5 linked regions of the Rattus norvegicus genome follow. The protein of the gene in region 1 purifies or fractionates together with the protein of each later gene. This does not show direct contact. Links are inferred from orthologs where the notes say so. Each region holds a gene or a part of one and is shown in the gene's direction. Other genes may lie near its edges. The genes, in order: Ambra1, Dnajb1, Bag5, Dcaf7 and Nek9.

Region 1 (4,274 bases):
CCTCGCCTCAGCCTCCAGAAAGTTGGGATTAAAGACATACAGTATCATTTTTGTTTGCTTATGTCTAAGAAGACCTAATCATAATTAGGTAATTGCCTTTTCTGAAGAGTAGCAAATACCTATCACATGGAAAATATTTAGAAATATCATATTGATTGTACAGAATGGAGTCTGGCCAGTGCAGTTGTTAGGATCAGCTACAAATCAAGTATGTCGGTAAATGCCTGTAATTCCAACAAGTGGGAGGCAGAGGGAGGAAGATAGGGTTTGAAGTAATATGGATTACCTAGTGAGATTCTGTTAAAAACAAACAAACAAACAAACAAACAAAAACCCCTCAGGCATGGTTACTTATAATTCCAGGACTCGGAGGCAAAAGGATGGCTGTGAGCTTGAGCTCAGTTTGGGCTACATAGTGAGTTCCAAGCAAGCCAGGCTACAGAGTGTGAGCCCCCACCTCAACCTCTCACAATCCCTCAGGCACACTCCAAATTTGGAACATGAAGACAAGCACATCAGAGTTTCAAAGTCATTCTTGGCTACATAGAGTTCAAGACCAGTGTGTGGGTTACATGAAATCCTGTCTCTAAAAACTAATTAGTTAACTAACTAGCTACTTAGCTAATTAAAAGCACATTTGTGGACTGTGGCTTTAGATCTTTGGAAGAAAAAAAAAAGAGAGAGAGAGAAGTGAGAAAAAGAAAAGAACAGGCTGGGAGGTTGTGGTGCTCACCTTTAATCCCAGCACTCCAGAGGCAGAGGCAGGCAGATCTGGGTGAGCTGGAGGCCAGCCTGGTCTACAGAACCAGTTCCAGGATAGCCAAGGGTACACAGAGAAACCTTGTCTGGCAAAACAAACTAAGTCAAATCATAAAAATTTAAAAACAAGGTACAGGAACTTTCCCCTCCCACCTTAAGCTGTTCTATGTTCTCCTGGATTGAACTGGGGCATTCATAGAGATTATTCCGTTTTCTTCAGCTCTGAGAGGAAATCAAGAATCAAAAGAAGCGAAGTCATTTGTTCAACTGGGACAAGTAGTGTAAGAAGTCTGTAAGTGTAGGGCAATCGTTGAACTATTAAGGAGAGCTTTATTCTAGTATGATTTATCTTCAATCAACGTGTTCACAAAAGACTAATTCCTTTTTCACTTAAGACAAGGTCTCATATAGTCCAGGTTGGCCTTGCTCTTAACTGAGTATGACTTTGAACTCCATATCCTCCAAATGCCTCCTCTTCCTAAATTCCTGGGATTACAACCGTGCTTGCTGTCTCCGAAATTTAGTTCTCTAAATTACTTCAACACTCGGTCACCAAGAGAAAATGGCAGAAACCCAGCCTACTCTATGCTTTAGCTTATGATCTGAATTTGTTTATTTATGCCTAGGAAGGCAGCGGGACTTGCAGCAGGAGCTGAGCAATGTTTCGGCACTCGGCTGCAGTTCCTTGAACGATTGCTTGGGCGCTCTTCCTTTGATGTCTGGGCGTTCGTGTGTTCGATGATCTTTTGCAGCGTCTTCTAGGTTGATGTCTCCAGAGCGGCGGCGGCGGTGCCAGGTCCTGGACTGAGTTATCCGGGAGACCCCGGGCTCTGGCCGCTTTCTTCCGCTGGTCGGTCGAGCGGGCCCCTCGCTTCCTTCAGCCTCTCCCCGCCTTCCGTCCGTGGCTCCGTGCGCTCGTTGGCCTTCCGGCCAAGCTCTCACTCGCCTCGCAGGTAGGCCCGGGAGGAGCCTGGGAGGCCCGGTCCGGCATCCTTCCGCCGAAGGCAGGAGGAGACCTTGGCGCCGGCCGGTGGGCGAGCGCGCGGCCCGTCGGGGCGCGCGTCGTGAAGGGGGTTGCGCCTGGGGGCGCGGCCGGAGGGCTGCCCGGAACTGAGGGAGAAGCCGGAAGGAGGGAGAGATGCTGAAGCTATTGGCCGGGTTCTGTAGAGAGGGGATGTCTGGTCCTGGACTCGTGTCGTCACCCCTAGATTGTGGGAGCTTGGCTCTCTTAGACCCAATTCTCTCTCTCCTTTCCTGCAACTCATGTTCCGGACGTCATTCCTCAGTTGCACTGGTGACCCACGCTGAGGCTAGCCTCGGAGTGCCCTTTGAGTTGGTGGAGGCTCTTGAAACTAGGCCCTCCAGCTCCTTGGAACGAAATGTCAGGTTCTATTCTTTTGGAGTAGGGAAACTGAGGCTGAGGTATGGGACCTGACTTTTCCCTATGACCCCGACAGAGCATTAAATATGCTGTTTGTTTTTGTCTTTAACAGTTGACCCTTCTCTTTCTCCCATTTTACTGGTCACTTTTAACTTAACAGTGATTTCTCATTTGACTACTTGGAACTCTTCTTTCTTAAGAAACATTTATTGTGTTACTGGAGGCTTCAGACATTAAGGGAGCAAGGAATATTTTTTGACTGGATTTGTCTTTTCGAAATTTGTATTTTAGCAAAAGTAGTAAGGATAGTTTGTTTTTGTTTTCTCATAAATAATTTTGTTTACTTCCACTTTACTTCTGATTAATACTGATTCCACTCTTCAGCTTACTCTAACTCTTTTCTGCTATGGGATTAAGTACTTAGTGCAAGATGGAAGATGGTTAAGACTTTGAACTTAGGTTCTTGGGAAGGTCTTTTCTAGGAGGTATCTAGAGGGAGTCTAAGGAGACTCTTTTGAAACTTTTTTTTTTTGTATTTGGTTAGTAGTTTAGTCATTTTATTAAGAGTTCAAAAGTCTGTGTAGAAACTATTCAAACTTAGTTAAATTGAAAATGAATCTTTTTGTGAATTTCACTGTTTCTCTTTTCTTTCTCAAGGTCTTAAGGTCAAGTGTTTTTGTTAATTCTGTTTGATCAAGTGTCATGATCCTAGTCATTCTAGGTTGGATAAGTTTCCACAGTATGTAAAATTCATAGGAGAATGACTTTAAGGTCGTAAGAAATTCTGTTTCTACACAGTTTTAAGATGCTTTATGAACTTTGGAAAGATGATAGAATTTTACATTGTTTCTCTAATTTTTTCTTTAATGTATGTGTAAGGTTAGTGAGGCTTATTATTCTTTCTCTTCTTTAGTAGTGCTGGGAATTTTGAACCCATGGCCACATACACATGCTCTGTCACAGAGATCTACCCCTGAGATTGGCAAGATTTAAATGAAGGTGATAGATTGAATGATTGGTTGATTGCCTGTTTGTGTGTGTGTCTGCACATGGGCATGCCATACATGCATGTGTTTGTCAGAGGACAATTTTCAGGAGTCTGTTCTCTCCTCCTAGTCTATAGTGAACTCAGGTTATCTGGCTTGACAGTAATCCCATTTTATTTTCTGAGCCATTTTGATGGTCCATGAAAATCAAATCTTTTGATCATAAGCAATTTCTTAGTTATAAGGACCTTGGTACTTTTTATAAGTGTGTAGATTCTTGATTGGGTAATTAGGCCAAAATTATATCTTCTTTGAAGAGAACTTTTATTATGGAAAAAATATACCAAAGCAAAGAAAGTAGAGGTAGAAGTAACATTGCCTGCTGTGACTTTATAGTTGTAAGTGTGTCTTAGTGACTCCCAATGAGTGACAGATAAGAAATGGTGATTGCTGTATATGTCATGAAGAAAAAGGTTAGAAACATTTTGAATGTTTCTGTAAGAAAGAACCAGCAGAAGTTTAAGTTGAATTGAGACAGATAAACTTGGTGGTGGGTGAGGTTATAGGAATGAGACTCTTAAGCTTCTCTACTTTTCTTTATAATTCATACAAGTTTTGCTTGATTAATTTTCGTATATTTTTTTGGTTTGTGTATGGTTGTTTTGGAGTTTTTGAGGCAGAGTGGACCTCTTGTGTTCCAGGCCAGCTTTAAATCGACTGTGCAGCTGAGGATGACCTTGAGCTCTTTGATCTTCCTGCCCCTACCTCAAGTACTGGATTACCAGTGTGAACCACTACTTGATGCTATATCTTGGGAATTACCAAAGTCAATTTGGGCCGTCTCCTGGCATTTCAGAAATGTTCACATTATGACTGAATCATTCTGTATTTTGCTAAGATGGTTCCTGTGGATAAGTAAGAGATATAAGCTTCAAATAGCTGTGGCTGTACATACTTTAAATTCCAACACCCCAGAGACCGATGTAGGAAGATTGTGAGTTCTAGGTCAGCCAGAGTTAACATCCTGAGACTGCCTCAAGAAACAAAAACAACAACAAAAATGAACACAAGACAAAAAAAAGACGAAAGCCTCTGAATGTTTTCTGGATTGTGGCTGGACCAGAGTTACTGAAATAAACTGCTTTTTT
Region 2 (3,985 bases), on another chromosome or scaffold:
GGTTTCCTAGCCCCAAATCCATCTTGGGGGAAGGAGGACTCAACTGGTTCAGCTTTCACAGGGTCAGTACGGTCAGGGAAATCAAAACACACACAGCTATACCATCATGGGATGGCTAAGGTTGTTTTTCTCAGGGGTGCCTAAGGCAAGGGTTATCAGACTCTCATGCTGCAGGGCTGCCAGAAAGTGAGTGTCAACAGTTGTCCACTAAACAAGATGATTAATCATCCCTTTCAAGAACACCTCCTTTGTACCTTGTCTGTCTACGGCACTTTCACAAATGCTGGATAATGTCAACTTAACCATAATACAGCGACCATTCCCATTATACAGATGAGCACACTGAGACCAGAATGGCTACTTTACCAGCACAAAGTCACACAGCCAGAAAGTGCTAGGATTACTGTCAGCCTTTCATGCACTGTCTTCCAGGCAATTCCCTGCAAGAACCACCACTGACTCCTCCAGCTTCCAATATCAGAAGCTCTGTCCTCTTCCTCACTCAGCAGTGTCCTTGACCGTATCATCCCAGGCTTACGAAGCCAAAGCAAAAAACATCTATGTCAAAGTATTTGGAAATATTTACGAAGCACCTAGTGGATCTTAAAAAGATTTCACTCTCTGCAAAGGAAGTGACACCAAGAACGCCAAGAAACCAGCTAATTCCAATAGGAATTAGTAGGAAGTAAAATAACCCAGCCCGACTGGGGCAATCCCAAGGCAGACCAGCCTCACCTCGCTTTACAGTAACGGCCTGTACGGGAAGACAAAGGGTTACGGGCAGAAGAGGGCGGGGTGCGTATTTTTATCCCTGGGTTGAAGCAGGAAGACTTGGAGTTACACATCAGGTAGCTACCATAAGTCACGCATCAGAACCGCCCAGCGGCGATCACCTGGGGAAAGGGTGCGGCCATCCGGGAGGGCCGCCTCTGTAGCCCGCCCCCTCGCGTCATCAGGGAGAGCGGGTCGCGATTGGCTGGATCCGCCGCGAAGGCGGGACCTCGGCAGCCGGCGCGCGCGTCCGAGGAAGGCGTTGACCAGGGGAGAGAGAGAAGGGGCGTGGCCCCGCGCGGAAAGCCGTTGGCCGCCGGGTCCCACCCCAGATGAGCTGCGTCACGCAGCGGGCTGCAGCGATTGGCCGGTGTGGGGCGACGCATCGGGAGGGGCGGAAGGTTCTGGAGGGCTGGCGGGATCTGGAAGCTTCCGCCGGACGGGTATATAGAGTCCGGGACGGGGCAGCAGCGGAGCCGGAGGCGGCGACAGCTGGGCGGCGGTGGCCATGGGCAAGGACTACTACCAGACGCTGGGCCTGGCCCGCGGCGCGTCCGACGACGAGATCAAGCGGGCCTACCGCCGCCAGGCGCTGCGCTACCACCCGGACAAGAACAAGGAGCCCGGCGCCGAGGAGAAGTTCAAGGAGATCGCCGAGGCCTACGACGTGCTCAGCGACCCGCGCAAGCGCGAGATTTTCGACCGCTATGGAGAGGAAGGTACGCGTGCGCGCGGCCCGGGTGACCCGCCGTTTGACAGGCGAGGAAACCGAGGCACTCGGGGCCTCTCTGAGGCTTCGGCGGGGGACAGATGGTCCGGGGATCCCGCGGCGGCGCTGCCTCCTCCACCTTCTCTCTAATCGGCGGCCTCAGACGGGAGGAGGAGCTCTGGGTGCGCCGCTAGCACAGAAGCTTCTAGCACGTCTGCCGCAGCCCCTCCCGGCCGGCCGCCTGCACAGCGCCGGAATGCTGCAGACGGGGGCGGGGGGCGGCGGTCGCGATGGGAATGAAAATTGCCCAAGTGTCGATTCCCTTTCCCAGCCGCAAGCTCGGTGCTTACCCAAAGTTGAACCTTTCTGGTACTAGTGCGTAGGAACTTCTTTGTAAGGTGTTACAGCATAGCTGGGAGGATGGAGCAGTCACGTCAACCTGGTGGCACCAACATCTAGAGACCTTTCTACTGAATTGTTGTCACGAAGTTAAACGGGGTGGTTTGTTTCCTGTTCCTGTTGCCATTGGGAGTTAAAGACTTGAGATTCGTCCTTGACTTAAGTGGAAAAGCTTTTAAAAATATACACGTAACTCCTTCCCCTCACCCCCTCCCACACACACACTATAGTTTCTGCTGCTTTTTTACTAAGACCAAAACTTGTTGAGAGCAGTGTACTGGGGCTCACACCTCCACTTGGGAGGCTGAATTAGGAACGTTGTGAATTTGCTGCAAATCTGAGCTACAGGGTAAGCTGTTTCCAAAGGAAGCAGACGTTGTGACAATCCCCCCCACCCCGGGGGTGTCTGAGTCAGAAAGATTGCCTTGAGGCTAATCTAGACTACACAGCAAGTTCTTGTGCTACTTAGAATTGACAGTAATACATGCAAGGGAACAAGATGTTACCATTTACTTGAGACAGGACCTCACTGTTGCTGGAACTTTTATTTTTTAATTTATTTGAGTGTGTACCTCCGTGCATCATCACACGCTTCTAGAGAAGGCATTGAAGTTCCCGGAACTAGAGTTAGACCATGGTCTGCTGCTTTGTGGGTGTTGGAAATTGAACATAGTTCCTTTGCAAGTGCTCTGAGCCATTTCTCCAGCATCTCATGTTAGAGCTCTGGCTTTCTGGAACTTGCAGAGATCAGTCTGCTCCTGTCTTGAGAGCTAGGGTTCCAAGATCTTTGTTTCAAGGGCTTTGTGTTTTATCTGTGTGTAGAAGTGTTGGGATGAAGGGTCCTGACTCTCCTGCAGTAACCCTGAGTTGCCGTTTTGTTTTCCAGGCCTGAAGGGTGGTGGCCCCAGTGGCGGGAGCAGTGGTGGTGCTAATGGTACCTCTTTCAGCTACACATTCCATGGAGACCCTCATGCTATGTTTGCTGAGTTCTTCGGTGGCAGGAATCCCTTTGATACCTTTTTTGGGCAGCGCAACGGGGAAGAAGGCATGGACATCGATGACCCGTTCTCTAGCTTTCCGATGGGTATGGGCGGCTTCACCAATATGAACTTTGGACGTTCCCGCCCTACTCAAGAGCCCACCCGGAAGAAGCAAGATCCCCCAGTCACCCACGACCTTCGGGTCTCCCTTGAAGAGATCTACAGCGGCTGTACCAAGAAGATGAAAATCTCCCACAAGCGGCTGAACCCTGATGGAAAGAGCATTCGAAATGAAGATAAGATCCTGACCATCGAAGTGAAGAGGGGCTGGAAAGAAGGGACCAAAATCACCTTTCCCAAGGAAGGGGACCAGACCTCGAACAACATTCCAGCTGACATCGTCTTTGTTTTAAAGGACAAGCCACACAATATCTTCAAGAGAGATGGTTCTGATGTCATTTATCCAGCCAGGATTAGCCTTCGGGAGGTAAGGTGCTGGGTGTGGGGAGGAGGAATCATGAAGAGAGATGGGTACTGAGGATAACAGGCTGTGGGGGTGGCACTCTGTTTCTGACAGCATGGGGAGCTTTGTAGTGGGGTCTCGGAAGGCCTGGTCTGGTGGACCTGACCCTTCTCTGGATGGTTCTGGTCTGGAGGGGTCAAGCTTCCTAAGCCAGCTGCTACCTGACACTGTCTTTTTGCTTCCCTAGGCTCTCTGTGGTTGCACTGTGAATGTTCCTACTCTGGACGGCAGGACCATTCCTGTTGTATTCAAAGATGTCATCAGGCCTGGCATGCGGAGGAAAGTTCCTGGAGAAGGCCTCCCCCTCCCCAAAACACCTGAGAAACGTGGAGACCTTGTTATCGAATTTGAAGTCATCTTCCCTGATAGGATCCCCATCTCATCCAGAACCATCCTGGAGCAGGTTCTTCCCATATAGCTGCCTGCATTCCTCAAGGACTGAGCCAGGGACCTTTCCAGAGCTGCAGATTTCCAGACCGTTCCACTGGTTGCATACTGCGGGAGGGCCCAGGGAGGGCTTTTGCTCTGCCGAATGTTTTCCACAGAATATATTACAATCTTTCAAAGTCGCGCACTAGACTACAGTGGTTTTTCGAGCGATAG
Region 3 (4,070 bases), on another chromosome or scaffold:
TTATAATAAGTGTGCTGGGAGACACAGCGTAGCAAATGAAAATTTCCACAGCAGGCACATTTTGCAATTCTTAATTTTCTCTGTTTCTCTCTTCCCCTCCCTCATTCCCTCTCTCTCTCTCTTTTTTAAAGATGTATTCATTTATTATATATAAGTACACTGTAGCTGTCTTCAGACACACCAGAAGAGGGCATCGGATCTCTTTACAGATGGTTGTGAGCCACCATGTGGTTGCTGGGAATTGAACTCAGGACCTCTGGAAGAGCAGTCAGTGCTCTTAACCTCTGAGCCGTCTCTCCAGCCCCTCATTCCCTCTCTTAATTATTGCTTAATCGAAGCTCTCCAGTCTCTATCACTAGCCTAGTGGCAGGTGAAGTGTTAGTAGCCACTGATTAATGTTTTCATCTGACGGATAGACTCAAAACCTAGGCCTTCCTTAAACAGAACATCCTGTCGCAAAGAAGTGCAACTGATTTAATAAAAAAAAGATTTATTTATTTTTTATATATGGGAATACACTGTCACTGTCTTCAGACACATCAGAAGAGGGTATGGATCTCATTACAGATGGTTGTGAGCCACCTTGTGGTTGCTGGTAATTGAACTCAGGACCTCTGGAAGAGCAGTTAGTGCTCTTAACTGCTGGGCCATCTCCAGCCCCGGAACTGATTTTTAAAAAGGCTTCACGTCCTTTCCTGCTGCAGACAAGCACTGTTGATCTCTGACATCACGTGCATATTTACAAACAATGCGAAGTCTACACAAGTGAGATGATGAAGTCGGCCACCGCTTTAAACCGAACACTAGTCTTAACGAAGCGGAAGTGAGAAAACACACTTCAAGAGCTGTGTTGATACAAATGGTATTTAACTTGGTAGAATAAACAAGATTCGCACTCTCCACAGCGGATCCGCTACAAGGATCATTAGCCTGCCGGAGAGACGCGGGCGTCGTTGGGGTGCTCAGCGGCTTCCCTCCCTGCCAGCGCCCCGGCGTCCCGCTTACCCGGCTGGACGCAGCATCCCTGCGCTCCGTAGCGCGCTCACGGGCCAGCCGAACGCCGCCGCCGGAGAAGGACCGGCAGAGCAGCCGGCGAAGAGCTTTGCTTCCGGGCCGCAAAGCCGCCATGGCCCGCGCGTACGGCAGGATCGCGACAGTGGAAAGGTTGGCTTTACGGCAGCGTCGCAAAGCCTGGGGCGACGCGCGGCGAGGCCGACCCTGCGCATTCCCTGAGAGGGACGACCGGTTGCGGGGCCCGCACGGACGAGGAGGCGAGTTTTCTCCGGGCTCGGAGCTGAGGGGCCCGCTGTGCGAGGACGGCGACAACGCTGCGGAAGTGGAGGTGGCGGAGCGCGATGGCGCGTGCGGCACAGGTGAGCGCTGCGCGGGGGCGCGACCTCCGAGCTTCCGGAGTCGGGCACTTGGCCACCCTCGCTGCGCAGGCCAGCGCCCGCCGCGCGCCCATTGTGAGGTCAGGTGGCGGCGCGTCCGGCCCGGCCGAGACCCGGGAGCGGCCGCCGCGGCCAGTAGCTGCCGCCGCCTCCGCCGGCCCCTTCACCGGCTGCCCGGGTCAGACCTAGCCGGGAAGGGCGAGGGGGATGACGCTGGGGGCTCCGCTCCGGTGCCGCTCCCCGTGAAGGGCCGATCTCCCACCTCGCCGCCCTCCGCGGCAGCCAAGACCGCCGCCACCCAGACCTCTCGGAGTAAAGCGCTGCGAAGGCCGGGCTTGGACCCTCCCCAGGGACTGAGTTCTGTGGCCTGCCCGCCAGAAGTGAGCTGTTTGACAGAAACCTGAGAGCGTGGGAAATGCTCTAAGCACACTTACGGGGAGGCGAGTGACCGAGTTAATCGCAGTCGTCAGGTTTTTGCGGCGGGTACTTGAAGTCGAGGGCGAGGATTTGGACGTTTTCTTAGTTCCACTTTCTGAAAAGTAGCAAGTTTAGCTGTCTGTCCGAATGCTGCTCCTGTCAGTTTGGAAGAGCTACTTCCACAAGGGCACCCTGCTGGTTCCAAAGACTAGCTTAGGTTGGTGGGATTTCAGGAGATTGTGTTGCTGCTAACCCGGTGGGTTGACCTAGTATATGAAAGTGTATGCAGCTCGCTTTCATGGTTTAAGACAGAATTCATAGGCCTAGACATCCACCCAGGCTGGACCATGAGTACCTTCCTGTCTGTTCTTAAAATCCCTGCCGTGTTCCCTTATTTTCTTTTTGCTTTTGATTCTTGGTGTCACCAAGTAGTCCTTGGCGATCTTGAATTCGTAATTCTCTTTCCTCTGTCTCCCTGGTGCTAGGATGGTAGGCATACACCAGCTCACCAGCTTGGTTGGTTTGTTTTTTGTACCTGTTCAAAGAGGCAGTTGACATGTCACATCTTCCTTTTCCTCAAGTGTCTTTTAAACCTTTGACAAAACCCTCCGTGTGTTTGCTGCATGCCCAGCTGCCAGAGTTTGACCTGTCCACCCGCCATCGTTTCTGTGGTGTCCTTTGGTTTTGTTTTTTGAGGCAAGGCTTCTCATTGTCCTGGAGCCCCTCAGTTAGGCTGGCTGGCTGGCCAGTGAATCCCAGAGCTCCATCCGTCTTTGCCTCCCCGGCCCTGGGAATTTAACTGGGCACCGTCTTGCCTGGCCTTTCTGTTTTATTTTATGTGTGTTGGTGTTTCATTTGCCTGCATGGATGTCTGTGCACCATATGCGTGCCTGTAGAGTACAGAAAGGAAATCAGATCCCCTGGAACTGGAGTTACCATTAGTGGTGGTCATGAGTTGTCATATGGGTGCTGGTAATCAAACCCAGGTCCTCTAGAAAGCATTCAAGTCTCTTAACCACTGAGCCCTCTCTCCAGCCCCTTCCCTGGCTTTTTTTTGCACGTGTTCTGGAGTTGCAACCTGGACACTTGACTAAGAACTCTCTCCACAGCCCCAGTGAGCCCTTTTAAAAAGTGTACTAAAAAGGAGTGTTTGGATTGGGTTATTACCCTAAGAGACTAATAAGTTATCGTTCTTGCTATCTTTCAGTGCTTGTGAAACTGAACACACAAGTATGGATATGGGAAACCAACACCCTTCTATTAGTAGGCTTCAGGAGATCCAACGGGAAGTAAAGAGTATAGAGCAGCAAGTGGTTGGCTTCAGTGGCCTGTCGGATGACAAGAATTACAAGAGACTGGAGAGGATTCTGACGAAACAACTTTTTGAAATCGACTCTGTGGATACAGAAGGGAAAGGAGACATCCAGCAAGCTAGGAAGAGGGCAGCACAGGACACAGAACGCCTTCTCAAAGAGTTGGAGCAGAACGCGAACCACCCACACCGGATTGAAATCAAGAATATCTTTCAAGAAGCTCAGGCCCTTGTGAAAGAAAAGACTGTGCCCTTTTACAGTGGAAGCAACTGTGTGACTAGCGAGTTTGAGGAAGCCATCCAGGACATCATTCTGAGGCTGACACATGTTAAAACAGGAGGGAAGATCTCCTTGCGGAAAGCAAGGTACCACACACTAACCAAGATCTGTGCGGTACAAGAGATTATTGAAGACTGTGTGAGGAAACAGCCTTCCCTGCCACTTTCCGAGGATGTGCATCCTTCTGTCGCCAAGATCAATTCTGTGATGTGTGAGGTGAACAAGGCCAGAGGTACTCTGATTGCACTTCTGATGGGCGTGGACAGTTCTGAGACTTGCAGGCACTTATCATGCGTGCTGTCAGGACTGATGGCTGATTTAGATGCTCTAGATGTGTGTGGGCGTACAGAGATCAGAAATTATCGGAGGGAGGTGGTGGAAGATATCAACAAATTACTAAAATATCTAGATTTAGAAGAGGAAGCTGACAATACACATGCATTTGACCTGGGACAGAACCATTCCATTATAAAGATAGAAAATGTCCTCAAGAGGATGAGAGAAATGAAAAATGAACTTCTCCAGGCACAGAGCCCTCCTGAATTGTACCTGAGGTCCAAGACAGAGCTGCAGGGCTTGATCGGGCAGCTGGACGAAGTGAGTCTGGAGAAAAACCCCTGCATCAGAGAGGCCAGGAGAAGAGCAGTGATTGAGGTGCAGACCCTCATCA
Region 4 (3,982 bases), on another chromosome or scaffold:
GTATTAAAAAAAAAAAAAGAAAGAAAGAAAAAAAAAGTGCAGAGTAGACTTGCTCCTACGGGTGGCCGTTACTAAAAGATGATTGATAAGTGTATACCCTGTCCCTCGAGGCTCCCAGTGTTTGTTTCTGTTAAAATCACATGCATTACAAGTTGTATTTTATGGGCTGGAGAGATATAGTATAGACCTCAAGAGCACTGGATGCTCGTGCAGAGCACGTGGCTTGGAGCCCTGGCTCTCAGATGGTATCTCACAGCCATCTGTAACTCCAGTTCCAAGGGATCAGATGCCTCTTCCGACCTCCGTGGACACTTGTCCACATGTGGTACACTTCCACTCAGGCACATACAAATACCCATAAAATTAAATAACGTATCTTAAAAATTGTGTTTTATAATGCTGCCTAAGCATTCAATATCGTTAAAAGCATTTACATTTATAATGGTGTACCTAGATCCAGGCTTTTCTGCATTTCAAACTCATGGCATATAGATATTTAAGGTTGGATTAGCATTTGGGTTCTGAACACCCCAGGAGAGGAAGGTAAGTTACTAAAAGCCAGGTCCATTGCAAATCAATCCTAGAAGTCAGGAGTCTTTTTAGTATGTATTTGAAAGCCTTAATCAAACTAGCCTGTCCCTGAAGGTCTCTATCAGGCCTGTAAGGGAACAGTTAAAAAGGGGGCATTGGAGCTAGAAAGAGTTCTCGGCTGGCAAAGGCTGAGGGACCGCTGGACTTAGGGCGATGAAATAAAGGCAGGAGGTCATCTATGAAAGTGGATTTGACCGTTACTCTCAGTGGATAGAGGCGATCAGAACAGCAGCAGCAATGGAGAAGTGGCAGGCTTTACTCTTGGCCTAGAATGTGGATCAGTAGCGGGGCACACTTGCCCCTATGTCACCCACGCCCCCATTCACCCGCACTGCGCCGTTATCCGTCTGACTGACATCTTGGGTAGCCAATGATCTTTGGGACTTCAAAAGAGCCCGCCTCCAGGAGCTGGGCGGGGCGAATAAGTAGAATGACAAACATTTTGACCAATTGTGTGGAGGGTGCGGGCGCTACCACTGTGTCGACCAATGAAAAGAAGGAACAGTTTAGAAAGGACGTGCCCGGTAGCCAACGCTCGTCGCCGCTGTGGGGTCGCGTGGCTTCCGTTCCGAGAGGGCGGGCCGACATCCCAAACGGAAGGTGGTAGTCGCTGCCCGAGCTGGTTTGAAACTGGTGGTCCGGCCCGGCCGAGTGTGTGTGTGTAGCTGAGGACCTGCTGGAGGGCTAGGCCGTTCTTGACCGCCCGGGCCCCGCCTCCCCTCGGACCCGCGGACCCAAGCCCCGCTCCCCGCCCGTCTTGTGCCTCAGCCCGCTGCCTCTCCGGCCGTCTCTGCGGCCCAGCCGCCACCATGTCCCTGCACGGCAAACGGAAGGAGATCTACAAATATGAAGCGCCCTGGACTGTGTACGCCATGAACTGGAGCGTGCGGCCGGACAAGCGCTTTCGCCTGGCGCTGGGCAGCTTCGTGGAGGAGTACAACAACAAGGTAAGTTGTGAGGGGGCTCAGCTTGTAGCTGGCGAGGAACGCTCGAGGTGGGCGGCAGCCCCAGATCTCACAAGTCTCCTGCGAACTCGCCTTTACAAGGGGGTGGGTCCTCTGAGGTCCTGTTGCTGAGGGTGTCACACTCGTTGCCTCTTATTTAGTTTTGACAGCCGGGGAAACCGAGGCACGGTGTTGTGACATGCCTGAGGCAGATAAGATTTTTGATGGTAGTAGCAGGTTTCAGACCGGAGTTACACCCCCCAAAGCCATGTCTTCCTCCGTCCCTCTCATTTCCCCCACTTCTGTCGCAGTGCTTCTGTTGCTAGGTGGGGGGCGGGAGAGAGGCAGTGGAGGAAGATGCGGGCGCTTGGATTGGTGGTCGTGCATTCCTGGCCACGCGAGATTTCTGTTGGGGCTATTTATTGCAAGATCTTCCCCATCTCAGGTGTTTCTCATGGATACAGAGCCCTAGTGCTAGGTTGTCATTGGTCACTGGTTTTGCTCCTCGATGTTCACCCTCCCCCAAACAGTCTATCCTTGGAAACCTTAGTCTGTGGCATTATCCCGCCATTATTTCTGAATAGAGAAAGATGACGTTTGACCTATTCTTCTCGTTGTTCCTTACACGTTGATTTGCAACATTGCTGGACATCATCACTCCAACAAAATGCTGGTAGAAGGAGAGTTTTTATATGCAGGATATAGGTTTGAAAGTATTAGGAAGAATTTTCTTTCCCTAATCTCTTACCTTCATTCTTTTGTTGTAATTTGGGTGAAAACAAATACGAACGACAGTAATCAGAGCTACAGAAAGCTGTGGCCAGTGGTGTTTAGAGCCAGTACTCTGGCTTACTCCTATGAACATCAGACTGGAGACAAATGACAAGATGGGGGGGAGGAGTGGAAGAAGTAGATGGTCTAGGATTTAACTATAAGGCATTGCACAGACCGAATTTTTATTTTTTCTGAGAGGGCTTACATGTTTTACATGTGAAGGTCCAGGTGAAAACATTTGAATATTTAGGTTCATTTATAGTATTTCAGGAGCACACATGTTTCTCTGGGTAAAGGTCCCCGTTTCTTTGGAGTCTTCTTTGAGAAATGGATGAAAAGAATGGACTTTGATTGCCCAGACACCACACATATACAGTCCCAGGGAGTGTGTACTGAGCTGCCCTTTCCTAAGGAAGAGCCTTATTTCTTTTCTCCTCTCTAGTGGCTTTTGTCCCCCTCCCCCCCGCCCTCCACCCACAGTGGCAATAACCCTGTAGCTGTGTTTCAGGGTTCTGGTGTCTGTAGTGTTTGTAAGGTTAAGACCACTAGAAATATTATTTAAGGATTCTTGTTAGAAGTAAAAGTAAAATATTCTCAAAGGACTGTGGGGTTTTTTTCACACAAATTAATTTTTTCCCCTTTTAAGTTCTTCCAGAGTTTTTTATCTAAAAAAGGAGAAGTTGAGTGCCTGCAGAGGCCAGAAGAGGGTGTCCCTGAGCTGGAGTTGCAGGCTGTTGTAAGCTACCCAGTGTGAGTGCTAGGAACCGAATGACCACAGGTCTTCTGCAATAGCAGCAAGTGCTCTTGTCAGCTGAGCCATCTCTCCAGTGCCTCATTTAAAACTATGAACATATCCAGTGCCTCCTGAGGAGCAAGTATGTAATATAAAATAACCCTCGAGCTGGGCCTGGTGGCTGTCACCTGTAATCCCAGCCTTTGAAAGGGTGAGGCAGGAGGATTATTATAAGTTTGAGGCTAGCCTGGGCTACATAGTGAGCTCCCAACCAATCAGAGTTACAAAGTAAGACCTTGTTTCAAACAAAAACCCTAGAAGCATGCATCTTTCCTTTGATTTCTGTGGATAATAAACATATACCATTCCTATCTTAAGAGGTTATTATGTTTTGGGACAGTCTCATGTAGCCCAGGTGGGATTTGAACTCCTTATCCACCTGCCTCCACCTCCCAAGGGCAGGGATTACCAACATATGTCGCCCTGTTCCACTACCTTGTGGGTTTTGTCTTTCTAAAATAAAAGTGCCATATCTCCTTCTTTGTTTGTTGTCATAAGCTCTGTGAAGAGAGAGAATTTATTCCACTTTAGGATACACAGTGCTGATGTGGAACTCCATAGTGGTCATTTAAGTGTGGGATAAATGTCTGTGTTATTCAAATCAACCAACACTTGGAGTCATTAATCACTTTCCCAAGCTGTTGGTGTAACCAAACCATGCACGAGGTCCTTGGTTAAATCCGCAGAACAAGAACAAAAACCTTTCTAACTAAGTTATCTGACTCTACCTCATCTTAACACAGAAAGAAACTGAGACGAAGCAGACAACTCATCCAAAGCCACACGAACTGGGGAAGGCATGGCTGTGACTATCATGTGCTAGAGGGAGGACTTTTACAGAGAACCAGGGCTAACTCCTACCACCCACATGGTGGCTCAT
Region 5 (3,511 bases), on another chromosome or scaffold:
GGTGATATAGTATCTCTTACCCCAGCCTCCCATTACTACAATTGAATGCCTTGTGAGATTGTTTTTTCTTAGAGGTTGTGCAGTAGGAGACATCATATCTGATTACTGTCAGGACTGCCAGAGCTGGCACTTTAAGAGGCTCCCAAGACTTGAGTCAGCTGAGGGACAAGCACAGTCACACCACTCTTACATACCTCAGGGCCCAGGCTTACCCAATCCTGGAAGGTTAACTACCACTTAACTATAGCTCTACCACCAATGGTTGCCAAATTTTTACTTCTATTCTAAAATTAAATGGCACACTTAAAGACTGTCTTTAGATTCAACCATTCTACTTGTGAAAAGAAACTAAGGCTCAAGGTTTTATACATATCCCTGGCCCGTCTGACACCCTTCCTCCTTCAGCCCTCTCCTGTAAGCTGTAGGAGGATATGGAGGTCCTAGCTGCTCCCTCCATACACTTTCTAAAAAATTGAGATCCTCCAGGCTGCTGTCTTTCTTCTAAAACTGTCGAGGAGCCCTTCATCTCAGAAAACAGCCAGCTAGAGATCAGAGTTGCCCCTTCCCAGTTTGTCTGCATAGTCTCCCCTCTACAGAAGCCTTCTCCAAAGAAGTAGGAGCCATTCCTAAAACAGACTAACAGGGAGCATCTGTTCATTCAACTGCAGCCCTATGTGTTATAAAACTTGAACTCTGTGTTAGGAAGAGTGACCTTCAAGCTGTTGGGCAGCATGATAGCATGATGAAGGAACTTGAGGGTTGTTTTCTAATATGATTTATGTATTACTTGGGTTTTTTTCCCCATTAAGTTTTTTCCTTGCAGGTGGATGTTCCAAAGGCCTTAATCATTGTTGCGGTTCAATGTGGCTGTGATGGGACCTTCCTGCTCACTCAGTCAGGCAAAGTGCTGGCCTGCGGACTCAACGAGTTCAACAAACTGGGGCTGAATCAGTGCATGTCTGGGATCATCAACCATGAAGTGAGTGGCCCTTGAGGTTCTAACCACGTTGCCAGAATGCTGGGCTGGGATTTCTTTGGTATTATAAGTTAGTGGCCATGGAATTTAACTCAAGAAGAAAGCAGTCTCACAGACATTGTGTTCAGAAAAGCAGCCAGCTGCAGCCAGCCACAGAAGAGTTCACAGCATGTGACTGTGTTCTGTTGAAGTTCAGGGACAGGCTAAATGAACTTGATGGCAATAGTCAGAAGTGCAGCTCTCTGTGGGGTTTATTATTATTACTATTATTATTATCATATTTCTTTTTCTTTATTGGGGTACATGAGTCTTAATCAAAAATCAGGTGAATCACCTGAGGGAATGACCTCTGTCTTGATCAGGGTGGTGGTTTTATAAATGTCTTCATACAGAGGCTAAGTGTGATGGTGCATGCCTTTAATTTTAGCACTCAGGAAGCTGAGGCAGGAGGATCTTTAGTTTGAGGCCAACCTGCTGTATGTAGCAACACTCCTTTAAAAAAACAAAGGCAAAAATCCCACAAATGTGTTTGTGCAGATGTGGGTCAAGCTGTGCAGTAGGTTTTACAGTTAGAGCTCAACACCATTGACTGCAGAGGGCAAGGAGAGAGCAAAATCAACTAAATTTAGTTTTGCAACTTGATGAAAAGTTGAGTTAATTTGTTCTTTTTTAAACTGTTTTATTTATTTATGTATTTGGGCATTCTGTCTGCATGTACATTTGCACACCAGAAGAAGGGTACCGGATCCCGTGGGACTATAGCTACAGGCAATAGCAAGTTGCCATGTGGGTGTTGGGAATTGAACTCCCGGTTCTTTGGATGAACAATGCTCCTTATCACTGAGCCATTTCTCTAGCCCCATGTTGAGTTAATTTGTGTGTAGTGTCTAAAGTCCATTCTCAGGAGAGCACAGACTCAGGGTAAAGGCTGGAGAGTGGGTAGTTTGAAAGGTAGTTAAGATGAAGGTTTGTGGTCAACTTTTTTATGTGGGGCTTTTATACCAATTCAGAGAAAGATGTATAATGAAGGTGAAATTAGATTATGGTAGCTGATTTCTTTGTAAGCTGGAGAGATTTTGCCCTGCCCTTGTTAGATAAGCAGCGGATGCAAGCAGTACAAACGTAGATTTTTGTAATCAGAAATCCCTGCTTCTTGCAACAAATTCTCCGATTCTGTGTTTTACTTGTTTCTTGTGTCCTGTTGAAGATTGAAAGCTATGTGGCATGCTCTCTTAGAATTTGCTTGAAAAGACTTTTCCATCCTCAGCCTGTCCCCGCCATCACCGTCCCACCCTTTGCTTCATGACCCTGTTGCTCTGTTTTACTTGTCTCAGGCATACCACGAAGTTCCCTACACGACCTCCTTTACCTTGGCCAAACAGTTATCCTTTTACAAAATCCGTACCATTGCTCCAGGCAAGACTCACACGGCTGCTATTGATGGTAAGCAGGCTCAGCTGGGTGCATGCCCTCAGAACTCGGGTGCTCTGTGCTATAGGGTGTTAGCTTTCTTGATATCTCTTCTGACTTCTCCCTAGTATTCAATATTAACTCACTAACAAATCAGGCATTCAAGTACAGATTTTTTAAAAATGATCTTTTTAAGTGCAAGATAAATGTGCACTTTAATAAGTACACCACACTTTAGACTGGAAAGATGGCTCAGGGGTTAACAGTCTTTGCTGATTGTCCAGAGAACCCAAGCATCTTTACCAGCATCCACTTTTGACTGCTCATAACTGACTATTAACTCCAGCTTCAGGGGATCTGATGCCCTCTTCAGACCTCTGAGGGCACCCAAACATGTGGCATATACACAGAGAGACATACACACATAAAGTCAATTAATAAATTATCTTTGTTTTGTTTTTTAAGCCAGGGTTTCTCTGTGTCTCAAATATTTGACTGAACATTGTCCTGAAACTCTTGTTGTAGAGCAGGCTGTTAAACTCTCAGAGATCTGCCTGCTTCTGCCTCCCGAATGTTGGGATTAAAGCTGTTGTGCACCACTATGCCCAGCCATAAATACTCTTAAAAAAAACATATTTCTAACATCTGAATTCTATGGTCTCTAATTGGCCCTTACTATAAGTATTCTAAATTAAGGTTCTGATTGGTCACACCACCTAGATACCCTCGCCTCAAGGTCACATGGGTAACTTGATATGTACACGTTCTAGTGCAGGAGTCTGCATTGCTGTACCGTCTTCTGTGTTTCATGACCCATTTGTGATTGCCCTTTATTTTTGCTTCTCTCTCAGAGCGAGGCCGGTTGCTGACTTTTGGCTGTAATAAGTGTGGGCAGCTGGGTGTTGGGAATTATAAGAAGCGCCTGGGAATCAACCTGTTGGGGGGACCCCTTGGTGGGAAGCAAGTGATCAGGGTCTCCTGTGGCGATGAGTTCACCATCGCTGCCACCGATGGTAAGTGCCTATGTTTCTCAAGCCTTCCAGACAGGTTTGAATTCTGGAAGAAGTTTTTTATGTAACTGGCATATGTTTTATGTCTGATAGAGTAAATTTTTTTAAAGGCCAG

Evidence for each region.
Region 2: the proteins of Ambra1 (region 1) and Dnajb1 purify together in Homo sapiens (affinity purification with mass spectrometry, with the first as the bait; 3 studies listed by BioGRID). This does not show direct contact. The link is inferred for Rattus norvegicus from reciprocal best matches to the Homo sapiens genes AMBRA1 and DNAJB1.
Region 3: the proteins of Ambra1 (region 1) and Bag5 purify together in Homo sapiens (affinity purification with mass spectrometry, with the first as the bait; 3 studies listed by BioGRID). This does not show direct contact. The link is inferred for Rattus norvegicus from reciprocal best matches to the Homo sapiens genes AMBRA1 and BAG5.
Region 4: the proteins of Ambra1 (region 1) and Dcaf7 purify together in Homo sapiens (affinity purification with mass spectrometry; 3 studies listed by BioGRID and IntAct, with this or other methods). This does not show direct contact. The link is inferred for Rattus norvegicus from reciprocal best matches to the Homo sapiens genes AMBRA1 and DCAF7.
Region 5: the proteins of Ambra1 (region 1) and Nek9 purify together in Homo sapiens (affinity purification with mass spectrometry; 3 studies listed by BioGRID and IntAct, with this or other methods). This does not show direct contact. The link is inferred for Rattus norvegicus from reciprocal best matches to the Homo sapiens genes AMBRA1 and NEK9.

What each region holds. Positions count from the first base shown.
Region 1 is NC_086021.1:98,155,160-98,159,433, forward strand, and holds the start of Ambra1 (activating molecule in BECN1-regulated autophagy protein 1), read left to right. Parts: upstream 1-1,466; 5' UTR 1,467-1,712; intron 1,713-2,023; exon of another isoform or gene 2,024-2,181; intron 2,182-4,274. UniProt on the Homo sapiens protein: Substrate-recognition component of a DCX (DDB1-CUL4-X-box) E3 ubiquitin-protein ligase complex involved in cell cycle control and autophagy.
Region 2 is NC_086037.1:41,428,336-41,432,320, reverse strand, and holds the start of Dnajb1 (dnaJ homolog subfamily B member 1), read left to right. Parts: upstream 1-1,179; 5' UTR 1,180-1,279; coding exon 1,280-1,490; coding exon of another isoform or gene 1,491-1,662; intron 1,663-2,765; coding exon 2,766-3,346; intron 3,347-3,569; coding exon 3,570-3,800; 3' UTR 3,801-3,985. UniProt on the Homo sapiens protein: Interacts with HSP70 and can stimulate its ATPase activity. Stimulates the association between HSC70 and HIP. Negatively regulates heat shock-induced HSF1 transcriptional activity during the attenuation and recovery phase period of the heat shock response.
Region 3 is NC_086024.1:136,590,470-136,594,539, reverse strand, and holds the start of Bag5 (BAG family molecular chaperone regulator 5), read left to right. Parts: upstream 1-1,261; 5' UTR 1,262-1,373; intron 1,374-1,815; exon of another isoform or gene 1,816-1,831; intron 1,832-3,015; 5' UTR 3,016-3,040; coding exon 3,041-4,070. Other genes in the region: Coa8 (cytochrome c oxidase assembly factor 8), read right to left, coding at 1,006-1,128. UniProt on the Homo sapiens protein: Co-chaperone for HSP/HSP70 proteins. It functions as a nucleotide-exchange factor promoting the release of ADP from HSP70, thereby activating HSP70-mediated protein refolding.
Region 4 is NC_086028.1:91,472,728-91,476,709, forward strand, and holds the start of Dcaf7 (DDB1- and CUL4-associated factor 7), read left to right. Parts: upstream 1-1,172; 5' UTR 1,173-1,400; coding exon 1,401-1,538; intron 1,539-3,982. UniProt on the Homo sapiens protein: Involved in craniofacial development. Acts upstream of the EDN1 pathway and is required for formation of the upper jaw equivalent, the palatoquadrate. The activity required for EDN1 pathway function differs between the first and second arches.
Region 5 is NC_086024.1:110,688,087-110,691,597, reverse strand, and holds part of Nek9 (serine/threonine-protein kinase Nek9), read left to right. Parts: intron 1-823; coding exon 824-979; intron 980-2,310; coding exon 2,311-2,419; intron 2,420-3,237; coding exon 3,238-3,399; intron 3,400-3,511.